Drosophila melanogaster: one gene and its partners. The protein of the gene in region 1 interacts with the protein of each later gene in a pairwise test. Each region holds a gene or a part of one and is shown in the gene's direction. Other genes may lie near its edges.

Region 1 (7,418 bases):
TTGCTGGCAGCTGCCGAAGCCTTCAGACGATTCTCCTTGACCAGCTTGCGCCATTCCAGCCATTTGGCCAGTTCGGGTTGCTCGCTGCCGCCGCCTTGCTGTTCCAGCTGCATGTAGTAGGCTTCGCGCAGAATTTTGAAGGCCTGGATGCTGTAGTATGGCTGCTGTGTGATCGGGTCAAAGTAACGGGCTGGCAGCCTGGTGATTGGACAGATGCCATTGCTGGCTTTGGGAGGCGCCTTGTGGCGGAAGAGGCTTTGAAACACCTTGTCATTGAAATCGTTCTCGATTGTAACGAATGTGCGTTCGCACTTCCCAGCAAGATCCTTTGAATCGACCGCAGGGTTTGCTCCGCGAGTGGGCTTTCGCATCGCTGGCATGGTTAGTGAGTGGTAGCGTATCGTGGGTCCGGAGAACGTGCGCTTGGTGGGACGTGATTTCTTCTTCTCCAGCTCCATTTTCTGGAATTTCTCTGTGAATGCAACAGCAAATTGTAAAATAGCTGCTTCCTTGGTTGCTTTAGATACCCACCCAAAGATTTAGTGTTTTCTTCCTCGGTTATTTTGGCCTCCTCCAGCAGCTCCTCCTGCGTGGGCATGTAGTCCTCCACGCGCACCTTCTTCTTTTTGCGCTTGCGGGCATCGTCCAACTCTTTGAGGCGTATTTTGGTAGCCTGTGTCTTGATGGCCGTGGAAGTGCGTATGGATTTGCGGCCGGAATCGAGGACCGTGAAGCGTGGACGTGGCCGCCGTTTCGTTACCCCACCACCAGGTCGTTTCTTGTGCAGGGCCGGCGTTGCCTTTGTTTCCTTTTTGACTGCAGGCTTGGTTTCCTGCGGAAATCATATGTACCATTTAAACACATTCAGTAATCACAGGATTTTATCGCATTTTAAGAATGGTTCGCACCTTATAAGCCTTTGTGTTAACGACACCGCGTTTCCGCTTTTTCTCGGGCGCCTCTTCCTGATCCGAAACGGGCTCGTCGTTCTCATCGATACTGAAGTCGGAGTCAACCACATCTTCCTCTTCGTCTTTTTGCCTGCAGAGTGAATTTTATATGGCTTGAGCATTTAAATTTATTCAAATGATTAGTGCTCACTCGTATTCCTTATCCTCTTCGTCCTCCTGAAATCCACCATAGGACGTTTTGTAAAAGTCGTCCTCCTCTTCCTCATTGAGCAAATGAGCTATTTTGTTGCCGGCATTGTTGCGCCGTGATCGCGAGGCAGCCATTTTTGTTATTTATATATAGAAACTATGATTTAAAGCAGCTATTAAATAATAATATTTTACAATTTGTAAATGTAAACAAGCAGAGCAGTGTGACCAATGTAGCAAACATAGTATATATCGCAGAGGCTTTACAACTTTGGTATGCGTTTCAGCCCTGGTAAAGAAAATGGTTTCTCCTGCATTGGCAGTTATTCAAACACATTTAAAACATAGCTAAATTTATTTATTTATCTATTACATGTATCACAACAAAAAGCAGGCAGCTGCTTTAAAATCACATTAAAAAGCGGTCGGTAATTCAACTACCGAAAGTAGACCACATTACTTTACACTTGCGCTGGCCACACTCTTGGCTTGTTGCTTTTTATTCTGCCGGCTGCCTGCATTTTCTGATTTAATTTAATACCATCGATAAAAAGACTGCTCGCAACATGTCGGAACAATGGGAGGTGGTCTCCAAGTCGCGCAAGCAAAAGAATCTGGACAAGAAGGTGTCTGCACACAACGAGCAGAAGCGCATCGCGGCCCAGTTGCCCAAACTGGAGGAGCTGTGTAAGAATCTTTTAAAAGGTGCACCTTGCAATGCGATTACATGTTTGCCCCTGCCATTTTATTCACTTCGCAGTGCCAACTCAGCGGTATCGCAATTTGTTCGGCAGCAGCAACAACAACAACAGCAAGTCCCATTCCCCTGCGAAATCTAGTTCAAGTGCCTCATCTTCCTCAAAAGCCAATAAGTCGCCAGTTAAAAAGCACACCGCAAAGAATGCCTCTACCCAAAAAAGGACCACGTCGGCAGCCGCATCGAAGCCAAAGACTCTGGAGCTGGCCTTGAGAAACATCACCCGGGATGATTTTGCTGCCCAACTGGAGCAGGTGAAGCTCAGTTGTCCTGGCTCCGAGCTGCGCTGGTTAAGCCATGTATGTTTCTAAAGGAAATGTGCCTAAATATTTGCTCACCTATCGTTGTCCCCCAGATTGCGCTATACTTCAATGAAGCCTTGTCCTATGACTGCGATCCCATCTTCTCCGGCCGCTCGGCTCAGTATCCCAGCAATTTGGCCAGCGCCTCGCTCAAGTACTCAATTGTGGAGTTTCTGGGCAGTGTGGGCGAACAAAACCTGGAGTATTTCTTCTACTCCCTGCTGGATAGCATGTCAACGGATCTAAACAACAATCAGACAGTGGCAGGCTACAAGCTCATCCTACAGTTGATCGGTCAAAACTGGCCGAACATTTGTTCTAGGAACCTGGCCAAGACTGCGTTGCTAAGGAACTCCTATCAGAACCGTAGCAACATCTGCCTGAGCATCCTGTGGGCAATTGGACAAGGTGGCTATCAGTCCCTAAACGAGGGCGTTCGCGTGTGGCAGAACCTGATGCTGCCCAACCTGGAGCTAAAGCAGTACACCAAGTTTGTGGTCGAGTATATGGAGCGGGCTCTGAGTGCAGCAGCTGTCCGGAAGACAGCGGATCCTCTGCAGATCAACCAGCAGGAGTTCTTTGCCACTTACAATGCGCTCAATGCACCCTATAACCACCTGCCCAAGGAATGGCAGCAAAGTCTGAAGCGTAGTGCGCGTTTGTTGCTTGTAAGGACGAAAACAATTGATAGTTGTCCCATTGTTTCACTGACCTTTCTTCCTCCTGTGTGTAGCAACACTATATCAACAGTCCTGTGAGGCATGCCAACATATTCCTTACGCTCTTCCGGGAAATAAGCGCCGGATCCAAGCAGACTAATGAGATCGAAGGCTGTATTAGTTGTCTGCTCAGCAGCGGCAGAGATGATTGCCTCAGGGTGTGGCGCATGAACTACAAGAAGCAACAGTTGCCTAGTCTACTGCTTCTGAAAGCTATAAGTACGATCTACAGCTGTGAAAATTCATTTAATTGGATTTTTGTTTAAAAGTACCACCCACACTTAACGTTAATGTGTTATCTAATATTGAATTTCTATCTTTTCCTAGACGACAATTGGACCACGTCTACCCATGAGTTGGCTACGTCGACTGTGTATCACTCTTTTCTGCAAGATGTGGCGAATCTGAACGAAGAACTGCAGGGAAGCAAGAGAAACGAAGGTCACCTAGATGATTTAAAGGAGGTTTTGTTGGTGAGTGCGACTTAAGTATATCACTCGATTCCAAGCATAAGGCTCTGATCCCAGATCGATAAAAGGTGAATGTTGAATGTGTGTTGTTTTATCTTTTATAGTTTTATTGGAAAACTAGTATATAGGTAATATATTTATTTTGTTAGCTTTTTTAACCCAAACTTATTATTCAAACTTAAATGAAATCAGAAACACTATAAATTTGAATTTTCTCACACCTCTGGTAACACTGTTTAAGTTAAGTGGTCTGGCTTAGTACATTACGTACTCTGGTCACATTGCTTTAGTGAAAAGAAAAACGAAGGTATAAACTTGTAGAACTGCCGTCTAAAAGTGAATAATTTATTGCAATCGGTGCTAAAAAGAATGATATGAGCTTATTACACTGCAGCTAACTAATGTAAAACTCTTCACGTAGAAGTGGCCGAACTGTTAGCCGTTAATGAAGTTAGAGTTCTTTAGGAGGACGCTGCCAACGCGACGTCGCTGCGGGAAAGAGATGGAAAGCGTTAGCCGGCGTTCGTCCGAAATTTCTCCGCTATTCAACTGGCTTTTGAAGCCTGGAGTGAGCATAAATTAATGGTCCGCACCTTAATTATCGCGTTGTCGCAATTATTGTTGCTGTTGCAGTAGTGCAAAGTGCGTTTCGTGCATATGTGTGCGTGTCAGTATTAACGGTTGTGTATTCCGCCGTTCTGCACTGGTATTGGTGGCAGCTATAGCTGCACTTTTCCCATAGCGTTGCCATGCGGGTTCCAGTTGCCGCTAAATTTCTCCGAGCAGAGCAGACGTTTTGCTTTCGAAAAGAGAGTGGGCATGGCCATCGGGGATCATAAATTGCCGCATTATCAGCCAACATTCTTATCAGTACACCCAATTTTCGGCTGATCTGAGGCTTATTTTTATTTTCCTATTGACTGATGTGTTCCAGCTGCGATTGGCCACTCGCCTCCTGCTCCCTCACCCACTCCCCTCTCACATCCCGCTTGTGCGCACTCTCCTCCTCTCTTCGCCTCTTCTCCGCACTCTCACTCTCATTATTGCACAGTGGTGCAGTTTCGCACTATCACCTGAAAATCTCGCAACGCCACGATTCCGAATTCTATGGTCCAAAAAGGGGGGCGAAAGAGAACCATTTGAAGATTTGGGCTGCTTCAACACGTGGCATGTCCACTGTGACCCTGATTCTCGCTGGCCTTCCATCATTCTTTCTTTCTTTCACTCCGAAAGCATAAAACAGACGAAATTTAGAGGGCATAGTTCATTCAACTCTTTTGTCCACAGAAGAAACTATTGTGAGTGTAAATGATACTTTAATTTAGAGACAAGGTGTGTTATTTTTAAATAATGGTGAAAGTAACAAATTTAAAAAAGATTACATTTTTTCATAATCATTATGACTAATGTATTTAGTTCATTAGTTCATTCATTTTCAACGTTTAAAGTAATTAGTAAATATATCTAATTTTGAAGACCATCACAATGAATGAATACATGTTTTCTTCATTAAATTTGTGCAAAACCTATACAAGTGTTCCTAAAAATTGAAAAAAAAGTATCTACACCAATTAAGCATAGCCTGCATATTGAATATAAATGTTTTTAATCTGGACAAAATGGTATTATAACTACGTATTTCCAATTTTTAATTATCCCCATCCTCACTCGCGGTTTTAGCTTACTCTTAAATCTTAGGTCATCGAGCTCAGTCGCAAAAAAAGCTCAGTTTAAAAGCTCAAAAAGTCTCGTCATTCTTTTTAGCAAACACAATTGCAATGATAAACACAATAAATAATTAAACATCTTTTGCGAACAGCTGAGGAAATCTAGAAATACTCTTCATAATCGAAACTCATTGAAATTAAGTTAGAAAATGGCTCAGGTTAAACCGAAAAGTAACAAACAGAGCGGCAAACCAGTGCCGGCCGCCAAAAAGGTAAAAAATTGAACTCAATCAAATGATTCCACAATATCAACTATCCCCAGCAATTAAGATTCTTAATAATTTTCTAATTTTGTACTATGTAGAGCGTCCAAGAGAAGAGCAGCGCGCAGCAGAAGAAGAACAAACAGAAGGCCGCGGCAGAAAAAAAGAAATGCGGATGCTGCAAGTGGACCTTGGGTAGCATCTTCATCATCGCCCTGATTGCCGGAGCTCTGTACTACGATACCGAGGTGAACGGCAAGGGCGTGTTCGAGAAATCGGCCACCGGCAAGGTGCTGAAAAATGCCGGAGTCCTGCCGCATGTCCAGAAGTCCTGGTACACGGTCATGGGGGCCGGAGCGCGGGGCTACAAGTGGGCGGAAGTGAATGTGCCGCCGTACGCCGAGCCGGTGATCAAGACCACCTGTGACCTGTGGAAGCTGGCGAGGAATGCGGCCTGCAACGCTTACCAGAACGGCAAGGGATACTTTGGCGCCAAATGGCCCGTTGTGGCAAAGTTCGTAAGTGTCTTTTAGTCGCCATGAAGATGAGGTCATGGGCAAACCAGTTTTGAATTAATAATACGTTCCATCTATATTTTAGATTGACCAATACGTGCCCAATTCGTCTGGCAAAATCGAAGCTTTTGCCGCTGGCGTTAGCGATTTAGCCGCCAGCAGCTATGAAAAGGCTGCAGCGCTCATCAAGGAAAAGGTGCTTGTGTAAGTATGCCTGCCTGCCTGGCCTTTGTTGTCTTTGAGAATGCATCCCTTATGATTGTGATCTTTGTTTAGTGGCCGTCTCTCGCCCGAGAACATCAATCAGGCGCTGAACCAGACGCGTAACGCCGCCCTGGAGTACTACAACCAGTTTCACAAAAAGGTCGACGCATACGCCAAGCTCAAATGATTTTAAGCGTCAGGAACGCTTACTTCTCGAACAGCAACATCATCAGCAGCTGCAGCAGATGCAAACAGAATACGCGTCATAGTAAATAGTGAAGGAAGCCCTAATTTTTCGCAAAAAGTTAAAAAACCGGAAAATGTTCTATAAGTCGAAACTCAAGAAGTCATTCACATTTATCAACAACTTCTCGTCAAGTTTAATTAAGAAAAAGCAATACGAGCAAATCTTTGTGGATGCCGATAGTACACTAACAATCTAGTAAATTCAACCTCGATACTGATAAATTAGTGAAAGACACGAGAAATTTTCTGTTGTAAAACATGTGTTTAAACATTTTTCTCCAAGTTGAGAAAACATTATTTTTAAATTCGTTTACAACGGCATGAGAGTTTTGTGAAAAGTTCTACCATTGAAATTTTGTAATTGTAATTATTAAAGTGCGTTTTTTGTGGCGATGCGCGAAGTGTTAACTCTATTGTGTTAACTGAACTTAACAATTCCAACTGCATTTTGAAGGCAAACAATAGATTCAAATATTTTTATACTTTTATTCATAGTTTTCTTGCATTTGTGTGTACATTTCTGTAGACTCCTCCCCAATACTTGCATAATAGCGCGATACTTTTGATTTGATTTTAAATCTCATTTGTATATTTAATGGAAAACACGATTTTGCATAAATAAAATAAAATTGAAAGATGTGAAGTAAAGGCGTATTTCTCAATGTTTTTCTGTGCTTGATTATGTTTTTGGGGGCATATTGATGAATCGTAAGATTCTGAACACACCTGTTGGCATTGGCAGCATGGCTTGCACTACACACTTGTTTAAATTGGAAAAGCGGCTTGAAAGCAGTTTTTATTTCCCAAAAGAGACTAGAATTTAGATCAGTAATATTTCCTGGGCAATTTTTCTAGAACAGTTCTCTCGAAACTAAGCAGTTCAAATGTTTTGCAAGCAGTCCAAGAACTAAAATTTCCCTAGGTTTTTGTTACCCATATAAGCAGTGAAGAGAAATTCCTAAGCAGTGTATCATAATTCAAAGCAGTGCAAACAACAAAAAATTGTTGCGTATTTGAAAAATAACACCTTTAAAGTTGAAGAAGTTTTAATTATATTTCTAAAATATTTATAAGCTTTGGTATCTTCATGAAATGGCATGATTGGATAGAATCTTTTCCTAATTGGTACAACAAAGTAGGGTTCTCATTATAGTTGCTTAAATTCTCCCCGCAAA
Region 2 (3,985 bases), on another chromosome or scaffold:
ACAAAAACGCGACGGAATATTTCAGTCATCATTGGGGGGCGTATTTTGGCTCAATGACAAAAGACGGAAGCTGGGGTGATGAGGTGCAGTCCCCACATAAATTATGCTGCAAGGCGGACTGCAACTAAGCATTTTGAATGCTGGAAATACCGACATGCTAATTATCCATTCGCATTCCATTGTTATACCCTAACTGAGAGTACAATAGAATAGGTCAGACTTGTGACAATTTATGTACGTTTGTAAAAAAAATATCAGCATCTTGAAATGAAATTTTGAACAAATATTATAAAACAGAGTCTTCTTATTATCGATCTTGCTCAATAGTTGCTAACAAATAGGAAGTGTATCAAAATTTCGTTAAAACTGCATATTATGCCTAATTCGCACGATTCCCTGCCAATTTTAATATCTTCAGATACGCAAACAAAGATGCATATGTTTGTGTAAGTAGATGTTGCGTCTAATGTATCTCAAGATATTTCGACGGGCTAGACGGAGATAAATATAGTTTTACATATAGCGGCTAGAAATGTGGAATAAAAACAAAAACACATTTCGCAGATGAGCGAGTACCGACTTTGTGTGTGTGAGTGTGTGTGTGTGAATGAGTGGCATGGCAACAGGATCATAACGGTTAATTGCTATATAGAACGTAACGGTAACGGCAGGCAAAATTGGGGCAAACGGCCAAATGCAAAACAACAACAATGGCAAGGGCGAGGGAATTCGTATACACGTATGTTTATATATGTGTGTGTGTGTGTTGTGTGCTATGCGGAAGAACGGAAGCAAAACAAAATGCGATCTGTTTGAGTTCAGGAATATACCTTTCCTTGTAATAGTCCAGGGTTACCGATTCGGAATCAAATTCTGAATAATCTGGCAGCGATTCGGCATCAAAGGAGCTCATTCCGCTGAGCGTGTAATTGGGCAAGACGTTCATTTTGTTGTTGTAGCCAACAAGGTTACCCTGCTGCTGTTGTTGTTGCTGCTGCTGGTACTGCTGATGCATAGTTGTTGCTGTTTTTTCTACGTTTATTTTACTATATTTGCCTTATTTAACAATATGGCACACGCACACACACTCACGCCCAGGAGAAACTGGCTGCTATATTTTTTCTCTATTCTCTTTTCGCTGCCTTTTCACACTCTCGCCGTCTGCTTTGCACTTTCGCAAAAATATGCGTCGGTTTTGGGTTCAACCTGTATGCACTTACACTCTGCTTGAAAAGCTCTGTCGCTTTTCCACTTTCACATGTTCCTCGACCACTGACTTTTCTATATAATCAAAAAATAAAAACGACGAAAATAATAATGTTTTGCTTCCCTCATAGAGCTGGAACTTAAATCGATGTTGTCTCGATACTATCGTTTTGGCTGGGCATTTCTCGATAGCGATAAAGTGCCATGGAACTATCAGTTAATTTACATTTACCGTCAAATTATTTAATTTAACGAAGAAAGGAAATTAAAATAGCTTACATTTCGGATGTTTAAACTTTTATCAAAGCGGGGGCTGTGCTTTATAAAAATTTCCTAACAGTGAGGGAGAGACACTATCTGTCACATGTTATATCGGGCATGTAAACAACGCAATCTGATAATATATATATATTGCTGTATTAAGACCAACCAGAGTAGAGTAAAAATTAAGAAATCAGTACGTTTAATTATTTTATTGTAAGACTTAAGGTCAAAAGAGTTGTTGGAATGCAAAATGCAAACTTTGAAGTTTTAATTAACACGGAATTCAAACAAATAATCAATTATTATAAAGATATTTTTAAGTGAATAAAATTTTAATTATTGCTTAAGCATATTAATCACTGTGCTTGGCGCTTTTGTAACGGTTTTACGATGTATATCGCAATGACCACTTCCACTGACACGAAAAATAACGAAATCAGTGTGACCGTTTTCCACCGTACGAGAACGTAAGAAATCGGCGTCGCGTGGCTTGGACAGAGATTATCGAACAAAACAAAATCCGACTACAGAATCTTTTAACTTCGTTTACCCTTAAGAGTCCGCGGTGGATCCGAGGAATCGATGGCTACGGACACGGTGTCCAACGGCGAGAACTTCGCCCAGCACTTGAGCAGAAACAGCGACGACGACGTGATCTGTCCCACATGCGACGTGAAGATCAAGCGCAGTCAGGTGGCCGATCACTGCCAAGTGGAGATGGAGCGATTGCACAATCCCATTAGCGCTGTCACTCCACCGACCCCAACTAGCGGAGCAACCGCGTCCGAGGAATCCGGTTCGGTATCGGGGGGCAGACAACCGTGGAGCGTGTTCCAGCGGGTGCAGCGCAATCGGCAGGCCCGTCAGCGCCAGCGCACCAGGAAGCGTCCGGCTTCTCCTGCCCCACCAGCAACTGTAAATCCTACGGTAGCAGCTGCTCCTCCTCCAGCTGCAGCAACTCCGTCCGTAGCTGCTGCCGAATCGAGCCAACCCACCTGTCCCGTGTGCAACCACAACTTTCCGCAGTCCAACATCCAAGAGCATGTTAATCATTGCCTGCGCCAGAGCCGCCGCAATGGTCAGGCCAATGGTGAGCGGCATTCGAGTGAGGACTCGGAGGACAGCGAGGAATATGAAGAGTACGAGTGGGCGGGACAGAAGCGCATTCGCGTCTCCACTCTCGTGCAAGGAGGCTATTCCGCCCTGGGCCTGGGCCAGAGAATCAAATACAATGGCAGTCAGCAGGCGCAGGACGACGAGGACGAAGATCTCAACGTGGACGAGGATGACACTCACATCTATGGTCCTACGCAGTATGGCGAGGGCGATGTGATCCCACTGGTCAACGAGGACACAGAGGGAAATGTTTCCGAGGCGGATGTTACCAGCTACGTGCGCCGACTTATCTCCTCCAGCGATGGGCCCAAGCCAAACCATTCCAGCGAAGCCACCGAGCAAGAGCCTGCCAGCACAAGCAACGTGGAGGCTCCACCAGCCAGCGAGGAGCCGTCTACGTCGCGGTCCACGCGATCCACCTCCCAAAACCAGCAGCAGATCATCGAATCGCTGAAGGCCAAGCTGCGGCTCTACGAAAAGCAGGCGCAGGGCAAGTACAAGTGCCTGATCTGCATCGACGACTACAAGAATCCCGCCATCTCCGTGTCCTGCTGGCACGTCCACTGCGAGCAGTGTTGGTTGCAGACGCTCGGCGCGCGAAAGCTGTGCCCGCAGTGCAACTCGATTACCACGCCGAAGGACCTGCGACGAATCTACCTGTAGACGTCCATCACAGACTTGTTATCCCCGCTGCCAAATTGCTTGCGCCATAAAACAGGCTTTGCATCCCGACGCAGCTTTAGATGATAATCCCCTATACATATTATTTATATAGATTACAAATACCAATTATACTACGTGACATTACAATAAGCCTACCATGTAACTATTGCAATAAACCGCAGAAAACATAATTAATATTTAAGTTTATTTAACGAAATTAGCATGTAGGAAGGGAAAAGCGTTTAAAGACATGCAAACAAGTTATTTTAAATACCTTATTTTGAACTAAAATAAAAAAGCAATCAATCCAATATTATATCCAATATTATTTTCGAATCACAAAAATGATAAATTATTCCACTATAATTTACAAATGTTTCATTTTAAGTAATAAATAAATATTTTTTACTGTGTACCGGTTTGTTTTCATGTTCAGTTATCGATAATATAATGTTTGCGTTAGTGATGAGCAAGTTTTGCCTGGTAGCGGTTCCTCACGCGCTCATCTCTATATCACATTGCTTGGTTTTCTGTTTAATTTTTCCACAATGTCCGGCTCCGGTGGGATTTAATTGGAAAAAGGAGTATTTGATCTGTACGCTAATCCTGTCTTCCTTGCAGGCGCCAATCCCTTTGCCCAGTTCCAGGAGTCATTCACCCAGGACGGCAACGTCTACAAGTATTTTGATCTGCCCTCCATCGACAGCAAATATGGTTGGTAATCGTTATTGTTGTT
Region 3 (5,559 bases), 8.0 Mb from region 1:
ATATAAATCTTAGAAGATAAATGGAACAAGTCAAGTGGATTCATCACTCGTAATTGGAATATTACAGGGTCACTTTTTTAGTATTGCCTTATCTGGCTAATGTCGCTATTACGCGATGAATCATTACACAAATATTCATTTATCGCTATTCTTTTTTATGCTGAATGAATTGGAATGTTTAAAAGTTATGAGCTTACTTGGTAGTGGTTCCGCTTTTGGGTGGCGCCACGTTGCCATTTAATATCTGCTCCTGCACCTGCGTCTGGGCGGAGAAGAAAAAGAGGTCCAGCAGGTGGACATTCTGCATAAGAACCACGCACAGCTGGTTCAGCAGGATCACCAGGCGCTTCTCGAGATCGGGCGGAAAGATCTCGCCCTGGCTGGATGCCAGTATCTTGAGCAGGGGTCGCAGGAAGGGCTCGTGGCAGAGCAGCTGGTGGCGCGAGTGGCTGACGAGCAGTTCGTACAGCTTCAGCTGCTCCAGCCTCACAGCGTTGGCATACCGTCCCGTGGTGCAGGCCCACTCGTACAGCTTGTCCAGCAGATTCTCGCTGAGCAGGAATTCCAGGCAGGGCGCCGCAGGCGGACCACTAGCCTCGGCCGCCGGCAGCGAGACTTTGTTGCAGTGATGCAGCTCCACGAGCAGCAGGGTGACCATGTAGTCCAAGTGCGAGACCACGCCCAGCACGTCGTCGTGCGAGGGCGGTGCACTGTGCTGGATGATCTCGAAGGCCTGCTGCCAGTGCTTACAGAAGCTGTCGTAGCAAGCGCGCGGATCGCAGTCTGTGGCAGCGTCGATGGGTCGCTGTCGCAGTGGGCCGACGTGTCCGACGGAGGCAACGCCTCCACCGCTGCTCTGGCGCAGCCACATCGTTGTCGGTGCGGTGTGTGTGCGATTCGGTGGCTTTTAGTGGCGCTGGTCCGCTGATAACTGCTCCGTGTGCGTTTCGTTTGGCATGAATTGGTGGTGCTGGTGCTCTGTTATCTCTCGTTTTGTGCTTTTGTCCGACTGTGTGAGTGGTGAGTATTTCAATGTTGCTCGCTTTTTAAATATTTAGAAGCTAAAAGAAGACGCACTTTAGTTGAATATTCGCTATTTACTTTTCTCTAATGTTCCCAAGAACAACAAGTGACACACTTACGCACACAGCCACACACACACCTGTGTACGTGTGCCCACCTATTTGGGCACTCACTGTGGTTGTTGTTGCTGCTGCTGCTCGCTCACCTGATGAATTTAGATTTGATCATCGTCATCGTCTCCGCTGCTTTCCGCTCTCCGTGCATCGTGCATCTACACCCATTACTGTTTAGTGGCCCTTCTTAGATGGGTTTTCACGCTTGCAGCATTTGCAGCGTTTTTTTTTTTGGCACTTTGGCAATTACAATTACAAATACAATTAAGTGGTAGTACCAACACTTCCGCAGATTTGCGGACTAGATTTGCGTTCTTGCAGCACGAAATTCGCGCTTTTGGCGCGGGTTTTGAAGTCAAGAAAGGGAAGGCAGTCCGGCCCGCACTTTATTGCCTCATTTTGCACTATTTTCGTAGTGTTTCCAAAGCAATTCTGCGTAAATATTTACAATTATATCTGCACGGAAATAGAAAGTTAGCGATGAGCAGCTATCAATATAACATATCGATGTTTCGATTATACCTGAGATACATCGGGAATTTTTGACATCGGGGTGTAGCAATTCCATTTTAGTTTTATTTTTATCTAATTATCTATTCACTTTTAAAACAGCGTGCTATGATCACAAGTATTAGTTTGATTAAATGCGTTCTGTTTCATTATCCCAGCGTTCCACTTACCAGTATTTCTTATCGCCTGTGTGACCAGACTTCCGCGCTTCTATCAGCTGTTCGCGCTACCGCCATTTGAATTTAATGAAATGGTAAATACAAAAATTTGATTTATTTAATTCCATTTCCCTAATCATTTATTCCTAAAGCGGCGCAGTCTGGCTCCCAGCCAACGTGGACCACTGCGTCCCGAGTCCCGTCACTCCTTCACGCCGCCACTGCTGAAGAAAAACAAGCGATCCTGCCAGCAGGAACTGGAGCGAGAGCAAGAACTGGACAGAAGACGACTGGGCGCCCTCCGAGATGCCAGCAACACATCAGAGCTCCCACTGCCTATTCGCTTCACGGCGAACAGCGAGTATGAGTTGGCCATTGCCAAGGTTCTGGCACGGAAGTTCAAGGTGCCCATGGACAATTACGTACCGGATTACGGTGGTAAACGGGTCCTGGGCGTGCGGCGCTGCATTTCCCGACGACCCCTACACGATCCGATGGCCTGCAACGCCTTGGTACTCTTCCATCCACCCGCCTACACAGAACACGAGCGCATGGGCATGGATCCGACCAAGGTTCTGGTGCACGTCGTCGTCGATCCGCTGCTGAGCAACATATTGCGGCCGCACCAGCGCGAGGGAGTGCGTTTCATGTACGAGTGTGTGGAGGGAAAGCGGGGCAACTTCAATGGATGCATCATGGCCGACGAAATGGGTCTCGGGAAGACGCTGCAGTGCGTAACGCTGGTCTGGACACTTCTAAGGCAGGGGCCCGAGTGCAAGCCGACGATCAACAAAGCCATTGTCGTGTCTCCATCATCGCTGGTTAAGAACTGGGAGAAGGAGTTTACCAAGTGGCTTCACGGTCGACTCCTTTGCCTGCCCATGGAGGGCGGGACCAAGGAGAACACCATCCGAGCACTCGAGCAGTTCTCCATGACTTCTGCCCGGCTGGGGACACCTGTTCTGCTCATCAGCTACGAGACATTTCGCATCTACGCGGAGATCCTGTGCAAGTACGAGGTGGGAATGGTGATATGCGACGAGGGACATCGCCTCAAGAACAGCGACAATCTGACGTATCAGGCTCTCATGGGACTGAAGACAAAGCGACGGGTCTTGCTTTCCGGCACTCCCATCCAGAACGATCTTACTGAGTACTACAGCCTGGTGAACTTTGTAAACCCGGAGATGCTGGGAACGGCGGCCGTGTTTAAGCGCAACTTCGAGAGCGCTATTCTGCGGGGCCAGAATACTGACTCCACGGAACAGGAGCGACAACGGGCCATAGAGAAGACACAGGAGCTGATAGGTCTGGTCGATCAGTGCATCATTCGTCGCACTAATCAAATTCTAACCAAATATCTGCCGGTTAAGTTTGAAATGGTTATCTGTGCGAAACTGACGGCGATTCAACTCGAGCTATACACGAATTTCTTGAAGTCTGATCAAGTTCGACGTAGTTTGGCGGGTAAGTCATTAGGCAATACTACCACAACATTCCTACCATTTACAATTCCCTTCAAGATTGCAATGAAAAGGCTTCGCTTACGGCGCTGGCAGACATTACAACGCTTAAGAAGATTTGCAGTCATCCGGATCTCATATATGAGAAGCTCACTGCGCGGGAAAAGGGATTCGAAAACTCCCAAAATGTGCTGCCTAGTAATTACAAACCAAAGTACGTCGCCTGTTGCGCGCGAATAGCAATGGCTATTAATGAATCTTTTGTGTTCCAGGGATCTCAATCCAGAGCTAAGTGGCAAGTTCATGCTCCTGGATTTCATGCTGGCAGCAATACGTGCAGAGGGCAACGACAAGGTGGTTCTCATTTCCAATTACACACAGACCCTGGACTTGTTCGAGCAGCTCGCGAGGAAGCGAAAGTACGGATTTGTCCGGCTTGATGGCACCATGTCCATCAAGAAGCGATCGAAGGTTGTTGACCGATTCAATGACCCGGAGTCTGACAGCTTCCTTTTCATGCTGAGCAGCAAGGCTGGCGGCTGCGGCTTGAATTTGATTGGAGCCAACCGCCTGTTCATGTTTGACCCAGACTGGAATCCGGCCAACGATGAGCAGGCAATGGCCAGAGTGTGGCGTGACGGGCAAAAGAAGCCCTGTTACATATATCGCCTCGTTGCCGTGAGTACCTGAATTGGTTCTGCACGGAACTTTCTTTTTCAACTCAAGAAATCTCTTTCAGAGTGGTTCCATCGAGGAGAAGATCCTGCAGCGACAGACGCACAAAAAATCCCTGTCGAGCACCATCATTGACAACAACGAGTCGGCCGAGAAGCATTTCACCCGCGACGATCTGAAGGACTTGTTTACATTTGATGCGAACATTCTGTCCGACACACACGACAAGTAAGAACTGGCTTTGGATACCCTTTAGATCATGATCGTGTAACATATCTTTTCAGGCTCAAGTGTAAGCGCTGCGTTCAAAATATACAAATGAAGCCACCGCCCGAGGACACGGACTGCACCTCGCATTTGTCACAATGGTACCATTGCTCCAACAACAGAGGCCTGCCTGACAATATTCTCGCCCAGGCCTGGATGGATTGCAAGTGCGTGTCCTTTGTCTTCCACCACCGATCGCAGGCTCAGGAAATTGTGCCGAGTGCTGAGGAGGAAGCAACAGATCAGCCAGAGGAAAAACCAGAAAGCCGCAAACGATCATCCACGCCCGCCAGTGATGACAGTGCCGATGAGGACTTCCGTGGATTCTAGCAATTGTTTGCAGTTTATTGTTTCTCGAATTTCCTTTTTCTTCGCACTTAAGTCTAAACTTAAGATAACTTTTTCTGGCTTCCTTTGCAATCCTAACAAGTTATTAATTTAACATTTCAAAAATGGAACCAGCACAAAATGTTAACGTGCTAGGGGTGAAGGCTTCTATAAACTAATCTGGCAATGTAGGAGTCAGTCCAGAAAATAGTTTACTTTTTTGTGAAATACTGATCAATTTCTATACTCTTAACTGGCCGCCAATCGGGCAAAGTAGTAGGTTAACATAGCTTAGGACAAATACAAGCAAACATCGAAATTCGGATTCTAGTGTGTATTCACTTGCTTAAGCGCAAAGTTATTTAAGTTGGTTACTTAAAATCAACAGCCATCTCCGCTAGCACGTTATTCTCTGCACATAAAAAGCAATTTGGCGTATAGCAACGTCCGGATTAAAACCCTGTCAGATACAGATTAATATTATGCGTGTGTATATGTATAAGTATTAAACCATTCGCAGTGTTAACACAGTCAATTGAACACTTGATGTATTCGGGTCTATACATCAATAATTTTATGCTCCAGCTCCACCCAGACGTTGCTCTTCTCCGGCGCCTTGAGGAGCGGCTGTTGCTGCAGCTCGGCCAAAAACCCACCGATGGCCTGATAGTACCTAAAAAGCAAGCACACCCATGGATAAATGGGAAAGTGAAGATTAATTGCCGGCCATACCCGTCCACTATCCAAGTGTCGTTGTGCGATCCGCCGGGGAATTCGAGCAGGCGCTTTATCTCGCTGCCGCATTTGGTATACAAGGCACGCATCATGCGCGGTGGCACTAAGTTGTCCGCAAGGCCCGAAATAAACAAAAAGGGAACCGAACACTTGCCTATCTTGCTCATGGAGTGATACTGCATGTGAAACAACAAACAATAATGTGGTAATGAGATAAAGTAAACAGAGGGCTCAACCGGCGACGACTACCCACCTTATTCTTAAATAATAGATTTGGTATATACTTCA

What was found.
Region 2: the proteins of Tmem214 (region 1) and RNF220 interact in a two-hybrid assay, tested with the Drosophila melanogaster proteins (one large-scale study listed by BioGRID).
Region 3: the proteins of Tmem214 (region 1) and okr interact in a two-hybrid assay, tested with the Drosophila melanogaster proteins (one large-scale study listed by BioGRID).

The regions. Positions count from the first base shown.
Region 1 is NT_033779.5:10,964,371-10,971,788, reverse strand, and holds Tmem214 (transmembrane protein 214), read left to right. Parts: upstream 1-1,585; 5' UTR 1,586-1,666; coding exon 1,667-1,787; intron 1,788-1,860; coding exon 1,861-2,156; intron 2,157-2,212; coding exon 2,213-2,827; intron 2,828-2,892; coding exon 2,893-3,097; intron 3,098-3,205; coding exon 3,206-3,351; intron 3,352-3,622; exon of another isoform or gene 3,623-3,933; intron 3,934-4,977; exon of another isoform or gene 4,978-5,224; coding exon of another isoform or gene 5,225-5,287; intron 5,288-5,379; coding exon 5,380-5,796; intron 5,797-5,878; coding exon 5,879-5,997; intron 5,998-6,069; coding exon 6,070-6,184; 3' UTR 6,185-6,884; downstream 6,885-7,418. Other genes in the region: YL-1, read right to left, coding at 1-472, 532-832, 909-1,041, 1,102-1,235.
Region 2 is NT_033777.3:22,724,337-22,728,321, reverse strand, and holds RNF220 (ring finger protein 220), read left to right. Parts: upstream 1-1,907; 5' UTR 1,908-2,052; coding exon 2,053-3,249; 3' UTR 3,250-3,438; downstream 3,439-3,985. Other genes in the region: CG45049 (uncharacterized protein), read right to left, coding at 831-1,015; Irp-1A (iron regulatory protein 1A), read left to right, coding at 3,798-3,810, 3,871-3,963.
Region 3 is NT_033779.5:2,989,047-2,994,605, reverse strand, and holds okr (okra), read left to right. Parts: upstream 1-1,846; 5' UTR 1,847-1,896; coding exon 1,897-1,899; intron 1,900-1,956; coding exon 1,957-3,271; intron 3,272-3,327; coding exon 3,328-3,481; intron 3,482-3,539; coding exon 3,540-3,945; intron 3,946-4,006; coding exon 4,007-4,170; intron 4,171-4,226; coding exon 4,227-4,539; 3' UTR 4,540-5,012; downstream 5,013-5,559. Other genes in the region: CG3558 (uncharacterized protein), read right to left, coding at 198-871; Bem46, read right to left, coding at 5,095-5,209, 5,269-5,447, 5,525-5,559.